Saccharomyces cerevisiae S288C: one gene and its partners. Changing the gene in region 2 together with the main gene of any one other region gives a genetic interaction. Each region holds a gene or a part of one and is shown on either strand. Other genes may lie near its edges.

Region 1 (3,906 bases), on a different chromosome or scaffold from region 2:
GTCACCTCTACACTTTCGAGTACAACATCGTCCAATCCAACTACTACCTCCCTAAGTTCGACATCTACATCTCCAAGCTCTACATCTACATCTCCAAGCTCTACATCTACCTCATCAAGTTCGACATCTACCTCATCAAGTTCGACATCTACCTCATCAAGTTCGACATCTACATCTCCAAGTTCGACATCCACATCTTCAAGTTTGACATCCACATCTTCAAGTTCTACATCTACATCCCAAAGTTCTACATCTACCTCATCAAGTTCGACATCTACATCTCCAAGCTCTACATCTACCTCATCAAGTTCAACATCTACATCTCCAAGTTCTAAATCTACTTCTGCAAGCTCCACTTCCACTTCTTCATATTCAACATCTACATCCCCAAGTTTGACTTCTTCATCTCCAACTTTGGCTTCCACTTCTCCAAGTTCAACATCTATTAGCTCTACTTTTACTGATTCAACTTCATCCCTTGGCTCCTCTATAGCATCTTCATCAACGTCTGTGTCATTATACAGCCCATCCACACCTGTTTACTCCGTCCCTTCGACTTCGTCAAATGTTGCAACTCCTTCTATGACTTCTTCAACTGTTGAAACAACTGTTAGTTCACAAAGTTCGTCTGAATATATCACCAAATCCTCAATTTCTACTACTATCCCATCATTTTCCATGTCTACATATTTCACCACTGTTAGTGGAGTCACTACAATGTATACGACATGGTGTCCTTATAGCTCTGAATCTGAGACTAGCACATTAACCAGTATGCATGAAACGGTTACAACAGACGCTACAGTCTGCACTCACGAGTCTTGCATGCCCTCGCAGACAACAAGTTTGATTACATCTTCTATAAAAATGTCCACTAAAAACGTCGCAACTTCTGTAAGCACCTCAACGGTTGAATCCTCATATGCATGCTCCACATGTGCTGAAACGTCACACTCGTATTCTTCCGTGCAAACAGCTTCATCAAGTTCTGTAACACAGCAGACCACATCCACAAAGAGTTGGGTAAGTTCAATGACAACTTCGGATGAAGATTTCAATAAGCACGCTACCGGTAAGTATCATGTAACATCTTCAGGTACCTCAACCATTTCGACTAGTGTAAGTGAAGCCACGAGTACATCAAGCATTGACTCAGAATCTCAAGAACAATCATCACACTTATTATCGACATCGGTCCTTTCATCCTCCTCCTTGTCTGCTACATTATCCTCTGACAGTACTATTTTGCTATTCAGTTCTGTATCATCACTAAGTGTCGAACAGTCACCAGTTACCACACTTCAAATTTCTTCAACATCAGAGATTTTACAACCCACTTCTTCCACAGCTATTGCTACAATATCTGCCTCTACATCATCACTTTCCGCAACATCTATCTCTACACCATCTACCTCTGTGGAATCGACTATTGAATCTTCATCATTGACTCCGACGGTATCTTCTATTTTCCTCTCATCATCATCTGCTCCCTCTTCTCTACAAACATCTGTTACCACTACAGAAGTTTCCACTACTTCAATCTCCATACAATACCAAACTTCATCAATGGTAACAATTAGCCAATATATGGGCAGTGGATCGCAAACGCGTTTGCCATTAGGAAAGTTGGTCTTCGCCATCATGGCAGTTGCTTGCAATGTAATTTTCAGTTAATATCAGAACAATTTAATTCATTTATATAAACATATACAATCAATCGAATAAAAATACAACAATGTAATGAAAACGCTCTCTATTGATATGTATTTGCTGACGCTTATAAATTTATTAAAGTTTTATTTTAAACCGTTCTAGTGACTTCACGCGGGGAGATACATCCAATAGTAAATTACAAAATAAGGAAAGTATAAAACAAACGGATAACAACAGTAGCTTGGAGACAGCAAAGGCACCCGAGCAGGCGTGGAAACACACGATGCATTTGAAAAAGGGGAAGAGGAGTATTAGCACAGTATGGCGACTTTTATGGAAGCGTTTTTATTCCGTAAACTCTAAGACGAATATGCATTTTTCTCGAAGTAGGAAGAAACCAGTGACAAACTTCACAAGGACAAACGGACTTCTCCTGAGCTGTAATGGTGATACATTCCCATATCTGCGTACACTGTGGAGATACTTCAATGCGCCTGGTAATTTGATGTTTGTCACAACTAATATTGTCGCATTTATGGGCATTGTTACGTATAATACGCTGGTTACTATCAGCAGTGAAAGAGCATTCGAAGAGCAGATGATGGCGGCACAGGTGAGCCTGGCGAAACAGAGAGAAGAGCTCGAGACTACGGCCCTCAGCTTGCCACGAGATATTGAATTGAGGGGTGAAGAAGATGATATTAAATGGGAGCAACCTGATGTAGCACATGTCCGGGAAGATCCCTTAGTCGAGGAGCAGAACGCAAAGTTAGACACCCCTATAAAACAGTATACTTTAGGAGATTTGATTTTGAATAAGAGGGAAAATGTCACTGATTATGACTCGCAGCGTGCGAAGGCATCTATATTCCACATGCTATATGCTTATATGCTGTATCGAGATGTTATTCAACCCACGACCATGACTCAAAATAACAACAGCGAGGAATGGCGGCGTGAAGTCGAGCTTTTGACTAAGGGAAAAGAGGTACAAGGTACTCATCGAAGGATAGACGTGTTCTACGACCTGTGGAATAAAAATTTCGATAAGATAGTGACATCACCTGAGAAAGTGCAGAATTTTCAACTGCCGAACTGGTCTAAATACCCAACGATATTGAAATTCATCTGCACAGAACTTCACGACAACAGTTTGAAGACCTTGGGTGAGTTTAAGCAATTCTATGGAAAGGTGCGATCTAACGAGGTAAAAAAACTGTTGGGTCTTTGGCTGTACGACCATTCCTTCCTTTTCCCCCATAATATCTACGACAACAGAACCGAAGAAGATTTTTACGATATATTAATTAATGACTCCATGCAGGATAACAGGATATTCCAGAAATACTCTTCAATTGTAATGAATCCCTACAACGAACGTACTCAACTTTTTTTCCCTAATGTAAATTCTCCATCTGTCAACAAGCCAGTACCGAGCATATCTCTGGAAACATACACACGACTACTCAAGGGATATATCAACTTGCAAGAAACAGGCTGCAAATACGACTATAATGACAATATATTCAAACTAATCAGCATCCTCAAACTAAATTGTTTCCTACAACGCAACAAGAAGAAACACGCAGGGCCAACCGTCAGAATCCTACTGCCGAGAGATGAAGACCGCTCTCAAATACTTGGTACCATTTCGCAGGCAGAGAAGAGAACCTGTTATCAAATTCTAAGCAAAAATAGGGACGTGGTTGCGCTGCTGAAACGCATTTCTGATATCCAGGCGGACTCTTCTTAATAAAACATGTAAATATGTACCTCCCAAATCACACTCATCATCTCATACGAAACTGTATCTTTTTGGGTAAAATTTTCATCGATGAGCTTTAAAAGCAAAACTACTTCACCAGCAATGAAGCTACTGTAGCATCCTATGATCTCTTCGGCTCTACACATCATATTACTAGCCTAGTCAACATGAAGTTCTTAACCACCAACTTCCTAAAGTGCTCCGTTAAAGCCTGTGACACCAGCAACGACAACTTCCCCCTACAGTACGACGGCAGCAAATGCCAATTGGTACAGGATGAATCTATCGAGTTCAATCCAGAATTCCTTCTGAACATAGTCGACCGCGTAGACTGGCCTGCAGTGCTCACGGTTGCTGCCGAATTGGGAAACAACGCCTTACCTCCTACCAAACCATCCTTCCCATCTTCGATCCAGGAGCTCACCGATGACGACATGGCCATCCTTAATGACTTGCATACTTTACTGCTACAGACGTCCATTGCCGAA
Region 2 (3,344 bases):
CGCAAAGCAGGCACCGTGCCTTTATCTTTCTTTTTTTTCCTCCAGCACTAAACCTTCCATAACAATACTATTAGAAAGGTTGTTATCAAATATTAAAATAACTATTAAAGTGATACAAATATATATATAGATGACGATGGGCATAAAAAAGCTCGTTTCTAATCATCAACTATACGTTTCTTGATCAAAATGCACTGAGCAAAATATTGTTATGAAAACATACTTGCTTGACGAAATGGATTAAATGGATCCATTAAATTAAAAAATGAGTCTAGAATTGCACTTTATGATAGAAAATAAAAATTCGACAAGAAATGGTGATAATTTAACGAACGAAAATATTGAAACGTCAGGAAAATAAAATAAAATATGATAAAAGTTGAAGATGGAGTAAAATAATCTTGTCAAATAATCAATAAAGACAGTTTTATCCATTTATAGGATTGGCTTGAAGTAGAAAATTCTTCAAAGATGATTGAAAGAAAGAAGAAAGTAGCACATAATTGACATGACGATTGGCTTATTCTTCAGACTTCTTAGACTTCTTAGATTTCTTGCTCTTCTTAGACTTCTTTTTCTTGTCCTTACTCAAGTTTGGTGTAGCAGCAGGTCTTGGACTAGCAACTGGAGCTTTTGGAGCCATCACTGCTTCGGCATCACTAGGTCCGAAATGGTAGCCCAATTTGTCAGCACCGAAGTGGTTAGCAATTGGAACCAATAAAGTTGGAATGAAACACATCAAAATAAGATCAATGATACCATAGAAAATACCGGCAGAGTCTGGCTGCAAAACGTTACCACCATCGGTAATACCGAAACAAGTTGGGTAAGCAATAATCCACAAGAACATAATAATGCTGAAGAAAACAAGGAATGTCAACCTGATATCGTTATCTCTTTGTTTCACCAAGTTGTAACTGGTGGTCATAACACTGATACTAACGACAATAGCAGCACCTAGACCGATGGTGTAGTAACCCCATTTGTAAGTGGAGTGAACACAGGCAGCGATCAACCAACAAACAGTGAAGAATTCAGTAATACAAACATTGAAAGCCATTTGCCAGAATGGGGTACCAGCTAGCATACAGATTTGAATAATTGGCCATGGCAAAGCTAAGAACCAACCAACGAATCTAGAGTAGAAGATTTGTCTGTAACCTGGATGTTCTTTTTGAGTAGAAGTTTGGACATGGTTGTACTTAGCCTTGACTGGAATCCAACCTAAGTTAGAAGCCATGGTGAAATAAGCGATACACATGAAAAAGTTTGGAGCAATACCGGTAAGGTAAAAGAATCTGTCATTGACTGGTTTTCTGAACATTAAGAATGTTAAAATTAAACCAAATAATAGGTAACAACAGAAACATGTCCAGAACCAATCGGAACCACGACTAGTGATGTGGAAATCCGCACCGGTTGGAGGGTTAATTTTGATGGCTTCGTTACCACCTCTTTTAATTAAAGTTTCAAAGGTAGACATTGTTATTTTTCTTCTTTGTTCTGTGGGTTAAAGGAAGATGATTAGATATTAAGTGAAATTAGGTATTAGTTAAAATTAAAGCAAAAAATTAATGTTAAAATAGGGTCAAAAAATTGGATGTAGAGAAAGAAAAAGTTATTGAAATAATAATATTTTTGTTCGAGGAAACTTTTTTTTTTTCTGAGTTTCTTTTATTATTCTTTTTCTTCGCAATGTTTCTTAACAATAAGGACAAAAGATAGTGACAACGATCTAAGAATTAAAATAAGCTTAATAATAAATAAAAAGAAGAACTTGAAAAGGGAAAAAGAAGAAATAACGAGAAGTGGGAAAGAAATAAGGATATATCTTAAGTTACCGAAAAAGACACTACTTATAAATGAAGAAACCAGGTGAAGAGATCCTTTGTTTTACGAAGACCGTATTTATACATTTCCCTTCATGTACATGTGTGATAAATTGGAAAACCACTTCTGGAATTAAACTGCTTTTTCTGACATCCTTGTGCAGTCGTTACTGCGATTATTTACATCTTTACTGATTCGTATGAGTGTTTATTTCCATTTTGCCTTTTTTGTCCAGGAAAACTAGAGATGCCGATTTTCGGTTAACAAAAAAAGTCCTGGTGAGGGAAAAAAAACGCTATTTTTTTTGCTCACCGCACTAAGAACTAGCCGGAGAAGACTAAGCTAGGAAAGGGATGGAACAGATGACGACGAAGAAGATTAAGTAAAAAAGGTAAAGGGAGACGAGATGGTGACAAGTATCTCTTTTTTTTATTGCCTTTTTCATATTACCTATTACCGCAAACTGATATATTTCTCAAAGGAGAAATAGTAAAGTGGAAGAGGTTTGGGTCTCTTGGTAACCGGACTACATTTGCAAGTTGCATCTTCCATCGAAGTATTAATTCCCTCCATCCTCTTCTCACTAACACCGGCACGATTTTAAAAATTTTTCAACTCCGTTGTTGAATTACGTATTCCTCTTTATGGTAAGCGCTAAGATGAACAGCGCTGAAAAGCAAAATTTGAATGCTTGAAATTCAGAACATGACTATTCGTTCAGTACTCGCTTCATTTGCATCCTTAGTTAATTTGGCCTGAATTACTTTTTGAATTCAAGAGATAGTGCATAAAATGCGGCCCCCCTTTCCAGCTTCCATAAATTGCGCTGATTGCATGTCTGACTAAGCTTTTTTTTTTTTTTAAGCGACCTTGTCTCGAGGAGCATAATAAAAAAAAGGGAGTAAGGTCGGCGGCAGTCGCTTTTATTAAACTGAAGTAAAACAGAACAAAAATTACTTAAGGGTCGCTAATATTACCCTTATCCTCTCAACAAAAGATAAGAAATTAATTGACCTATACCTATAATACCTAATAAACCCAAAAGTGTCTTGCTCTGATGTATTTGTTTTTTTTAACACAACCTTGCTACCTTAGGCCATCGAGAAGAGATTGAGGTCAAAGTGGAAGCGTTGGAAAAGAAGGAAGACCCATAGTATAATGAAGCTAGTTACCATCCTTAGACGACGCCCATATTTTTCAATTTCTCTTATTTTTTTTTTACGCAGCGTAGCAGTTATGGACAAAAGCCGGCCTGAAACAAGATTGAGATTAAATGAAAGGGCGTCTGCTTGTATATGAACTCAGTCGTCCACTCTTTTTAAAGTACTCTACTTATATAAAAAAAAAAGATAGGGATTTACAATGTTAATTATTACACGCAGCATCTAGCGTATGATTGTATGTCCCGAATGCCCCGTTATTACCCAATAAAGCAAATTAATACGGTCTTTTTATAAAGCTGTGCTTCTTTTTCGGGGTAGTTTTTCCGTGAAACCCGTAGATGGGAACAAGAA
Region 3 (3,837 bases), on a different chromosome or scaffold from region 2:
CTTGACAGCGAAAGATATAGCTAAGCTAGTAGCACCTGAGATGCCCCTAACAGAGGTAAGAAAAAGCCATTTGGCAGAAAAAAAGGAGTTGGCTGAGAGAGAAGTACCAAAACTAACTGAAGAGGACATGGAAGCTATTGGGGCGAGGGTTTTTGAATTTTTGGAAAAACAAAAAAGAGAATAAATGTACCAAGTGTATGCACTCTATTTTTATATTTGATTCTCTAGTGTGATTTTTTTAATCAGTATATCCCCTTCACTATTCACGTAGTAAATAAGTTATATTCGACCTGTATATATGAAAGCATAAAGTAAAGTTCAAAGAATATTCAGATATTGATGTGGGCAAACGTGATGACTTCAAATTACAAAATCTTTTCTTTAAAAATAAATTATGTGCGTATGTACATTATTTTTAACCAATAAAAGGGTTTAAATATTTATTTACAAGATTAATGACTGCCCTTTAAGCGTTGTCTCTTTATCTCATTGTACTAATGCTAAAATCGTTCCTGTGGTCGCTTTGCTTCACCAGGATATATCCAATCCCAGCGGCCTTTTTTATGTATAATGGCTAGGATTAGAATTGCCGGTAGGTGCAATACACTAGCCATAAAAGTTTTCCTTGCATAAATGTTGGCTACACTTAGACCTTTATTAAACTTGACGTTATCTTTTAATGTTTTTGCAGAATAGTTGATTCTTTGTTGCCAATAGAATTTGAAAGCCCAGAACGTTAGCCAGGCATTTATAAGTCCGGAATCTATTTGGTAGTACCAATCTGTGATATTAAAATAAGACAATCCGAAACATAAAGGGAACATTAGGATAGAGTATCTCAACGACACACGGGCGTTTAGGAGCGGATTTTTCCATGCAGTCATAACGTATCCGGCATTTTTGTATTCATTTCTAATGTTATGACTCAACGTATTAAAGTGTGGGAATTGCCAAGCAAACAATAGACCAGCAAGGCACCAAGATCCCGGATGTGAAAGCGGACTTGCGGCTGCCCATCCCATTAGAGGAGGTACCATTCCTACTAGGGCACCTAACCATGTGTTAATGATATGCTTTCTTTTCATAGACGTATAGGCCCAGCCATATAACGCGATATTTGAAGCACCAAGAATAGCAACGGTAGGATTAACACCAAAGTACAAGATAGATACTCCTAATGTTCCGATAAGTGCGGCAAACTCGAATGCCTGGGTAGGTGTAACATCACCTCTAACAACGGGCCTCGCCTGAGTTCTCACCATTTGTCTATCAAATTCTGGCTCTCTGCCCATATTTATAGCGTTTGCAGAACCGGAACACAAAGTAGTGCCTACTGTTAAACATAACAATTCATTGACGGAGGCTGGATATGGAGATAAAGCATACGAACAAATGGCACTTAACATCACTAGAATGGTGAGTCGGGGCTTGGTCAACTGAAGATATGGCATAATTACCTTCTTCTTTAAAGTTTTCATATTCAGCCCTTCGCTGATTGCGTGAGATGGTCTCTTAGATTTTCTTACCATCGGGTCTACAAGTTTGACATTAAATGGAAGTTGTGTGCTTGCATCGGTAGTAGCTTCGCTTCCACTTGAAGTTGATATATCATCTGTGCATCTTAGCGTTTTCATGGCAGTCGATTCAACCTTTTTATTGCAATTAGAGGTTCTATCACCATATCCAAAATTGGGAGTAAATTCTATCGGCGCAGTGTTTATATGTTGCTGTTTCCCGCCATGATTCCGACTAATATAACGAACTCCATTAAATCGAATTTTTATTTGAGTATCGTGCAGCTGTGTACCAATTTGTAAGTATATATTCCCTTTATTATGAGCAAGAACATTTCTCATCAAGTGAGCATATGTTCGAGGAAAGTAACTCATCTAAAGAGGAAAAAAGGAGAAATCGAAAAAAAGAGATACTATAGGCCTAAAATAAAAAGACCCCGCTATGAGGAATATTAATCACGCCCGAATCACGTCTATTGCAGATATCAAGAATTTTCTTCTTTGATTAATCTCACTTGCGGTGGATTTACGTCAATGGGCTTGCAAGCATAAAAAAGTCATTTTATTATTCCCTTTGAACAGCGCGCGGGCACGAGAAAGCTGCCCTATATAAACAAAGATCGAGTCTTTTTGGCTTGGATGATGTTTAAAATACTTTAAAAAGTGAAGACAAAAACTATCTTTATTTCCTTAAGTTATAATTATTGATGTATCAAATATAAATATCTATATGTGAGTTTTGTAATTAAAAATATGGCAGGAATATGAAAAATACATAACATCAATGTCTTTATTCATGATTTCAGTTCTTGTTCCAACCTAAATCTACTGCCTCTTCATATGTTGGGTAGTCGGTATAACCTTCCGCGGACATGGTGTAGAAGGTACTTCTGTCATACTTGTTCAATGGCAGGCCCTCTTCTAAACGGTAGACTAAATCTGGGTTAGAGATGAAGAATCTACCATAGCCTATCAAGGTTCTGGGATCCTTTACTTGTTCTCTAACCACTTCTGGATGAAGAGCGTAATTACCAGCTCTGATGATTGGACCCTTCCATATAGAGTAGGCAAAATCGTTAGTACCCTCGGAATATTCTCCTTCGCCCTCCACCAACGATGGGTCCGTGACACGTGGTTCAACGAGGTGCACAAAGGCCAAACGCTTACCAGCCTTTGCCCTCTTCTCTAATTCACCCAAAACATACGAATATTGAGCGATAATACCTGGTTCAGCACCCCCAGACATACTGTTAAAAGTGCCGTACGGCGACAACCTCAAACCCACCCGTTCAGGACCGATAGTTTCGATAAGAGCATCGACAACCTCCAGTGTAAAGCGGGCCCTGTTTTCGATCGTTCCGCCGTATTCGTCGGTCCTCTTATTAGAATGTGGATCCAAGAACTGATTCAACAAGTACCCATTGGCGCTATGAATTTCTACACCATCGGCGCCAGCCGCGATAGAATTCTTAGCCGCATGGATGTAATCCTTGATATACTGTTTAATGTCGTCTTTAGTCAAACTATGTTCGAGATTATTCGCATCTTTGGCCTTTTCTTGTAACGTAGCATTCATATACACTCTGTCAGATGCACAGTCATAGCGTAACCCGTCTCTTGCCAATACGTCTGGGAAGGATGCCCAGCCTAAAGACCAAAGTTGTACCCACGCGAACGACTGACAATCATGGATGGCTAAAAAGATATTCTTCCACTCAGCGACCTGCTCATCAGACCAAATCCCAGGGGCGTTGTCATAGCCGCCGGCTTGAGGGGAAATAAACGTACCTTCCGTGATGATCATGGTACCAGGTCTTTGAGCACGCTGACCATAATACACAGCAGCCCACTCCTTATTTGGAATATTTCCGGGGTGAGTGGCCCTCATTCTGGTCAATGGGGGCATAACCGCACGATGTGCAAGCTGAGTGTTACCAATCTTAATTGGTTCAAAAAGGTTTGTGTCTCTTAGGGAGATCGGCTCAAAACCTTTTACAAATGGCATCTTCTAAATTTAAACTTCGCTATACTGAACTACAGTTGTTGTATATATCAAGTACGTACTTTTTTGCATATGATGGGCAAGAATCAAGCACAGTTCACAACCCTTATATAGGTTCGAGTTGTCCTACTTACAACACTGTGCTTAGTAATGGTTATTGCGACTTTATCCTTGTTCTGAACGGAGTTATATCAGGAACGCAAACTGCTTACTAAGGAGCCCTTCTAAGGAGCCCTCCGCAAATAATAGGATCGGCAATTTCAGACGGAGGACGGAGCCGCCTAAGTGCCAAGAACATTAAAGAAGAAAGAAATAAACCTT

Evidence for each region.
Region 1: mutations in MRH1 (region 2) and PET494 together harm fitness more than expected from each alone (negative genetic interaction), as found in Saccharomyces cerevisiae (one large-scale study listed by BioGRID).
Region 3: mutations in MRH1 (region 2) and COX10 together harm fitness more than expected from each alone (negative genetic interaction), as found in Saccharomyces cerevisiae (2 studies listed by BioGRID).

What each region holds. Positions count from the first base shown.
Region 1 is NC_001146.8:704,203-708,108, forward strand, and holds PET494 (Pet494p), read left to right. Parts: upstream 1-1,936; coding exon 1,937-3,406; downstream 3,407-3,906. Other genes in the region: AGA1 (Aga1p), read left to right, coding at 1-1,674; RNA methylation protein TRM112, read left to right, coding at 3,586-3,906. UniProt on the Saccharomyces cerevisiae protein: Required for the expression of the mitochondrial gene for cytochrome c oxidase subunit III (COX3).
Region 2 is NC_001136.10:506,286-509,629, reverse strand, and holds MRH1 (Mrh1p), read right to left. Parts: upstream 1,484-3,344; coding exon 521-1,483; downstream 1-520.
Region 3 is NC_001148.4:223,853-227,689, forward strand, and holds COX10 (protoheme IX farnesyltransferase), read right to left. Parts: upstream 1,890-3,837; coding exon 501-1,889; downstream 1-500. Other genes in the region: mitochondrial 54S ribosomal protein uL24m MRPL40, read left to right, coding at 1-184; OYE3 (NADPH dehydrogenase), read right to left, coding at 2,317-3,519. UniProt on the Saccharomyces cerevisiae protein: Catalyzes the first reaction in the biosynthesis of heme A, a prosthetic group of mitochondrial cytochrome c oxidase (CcO).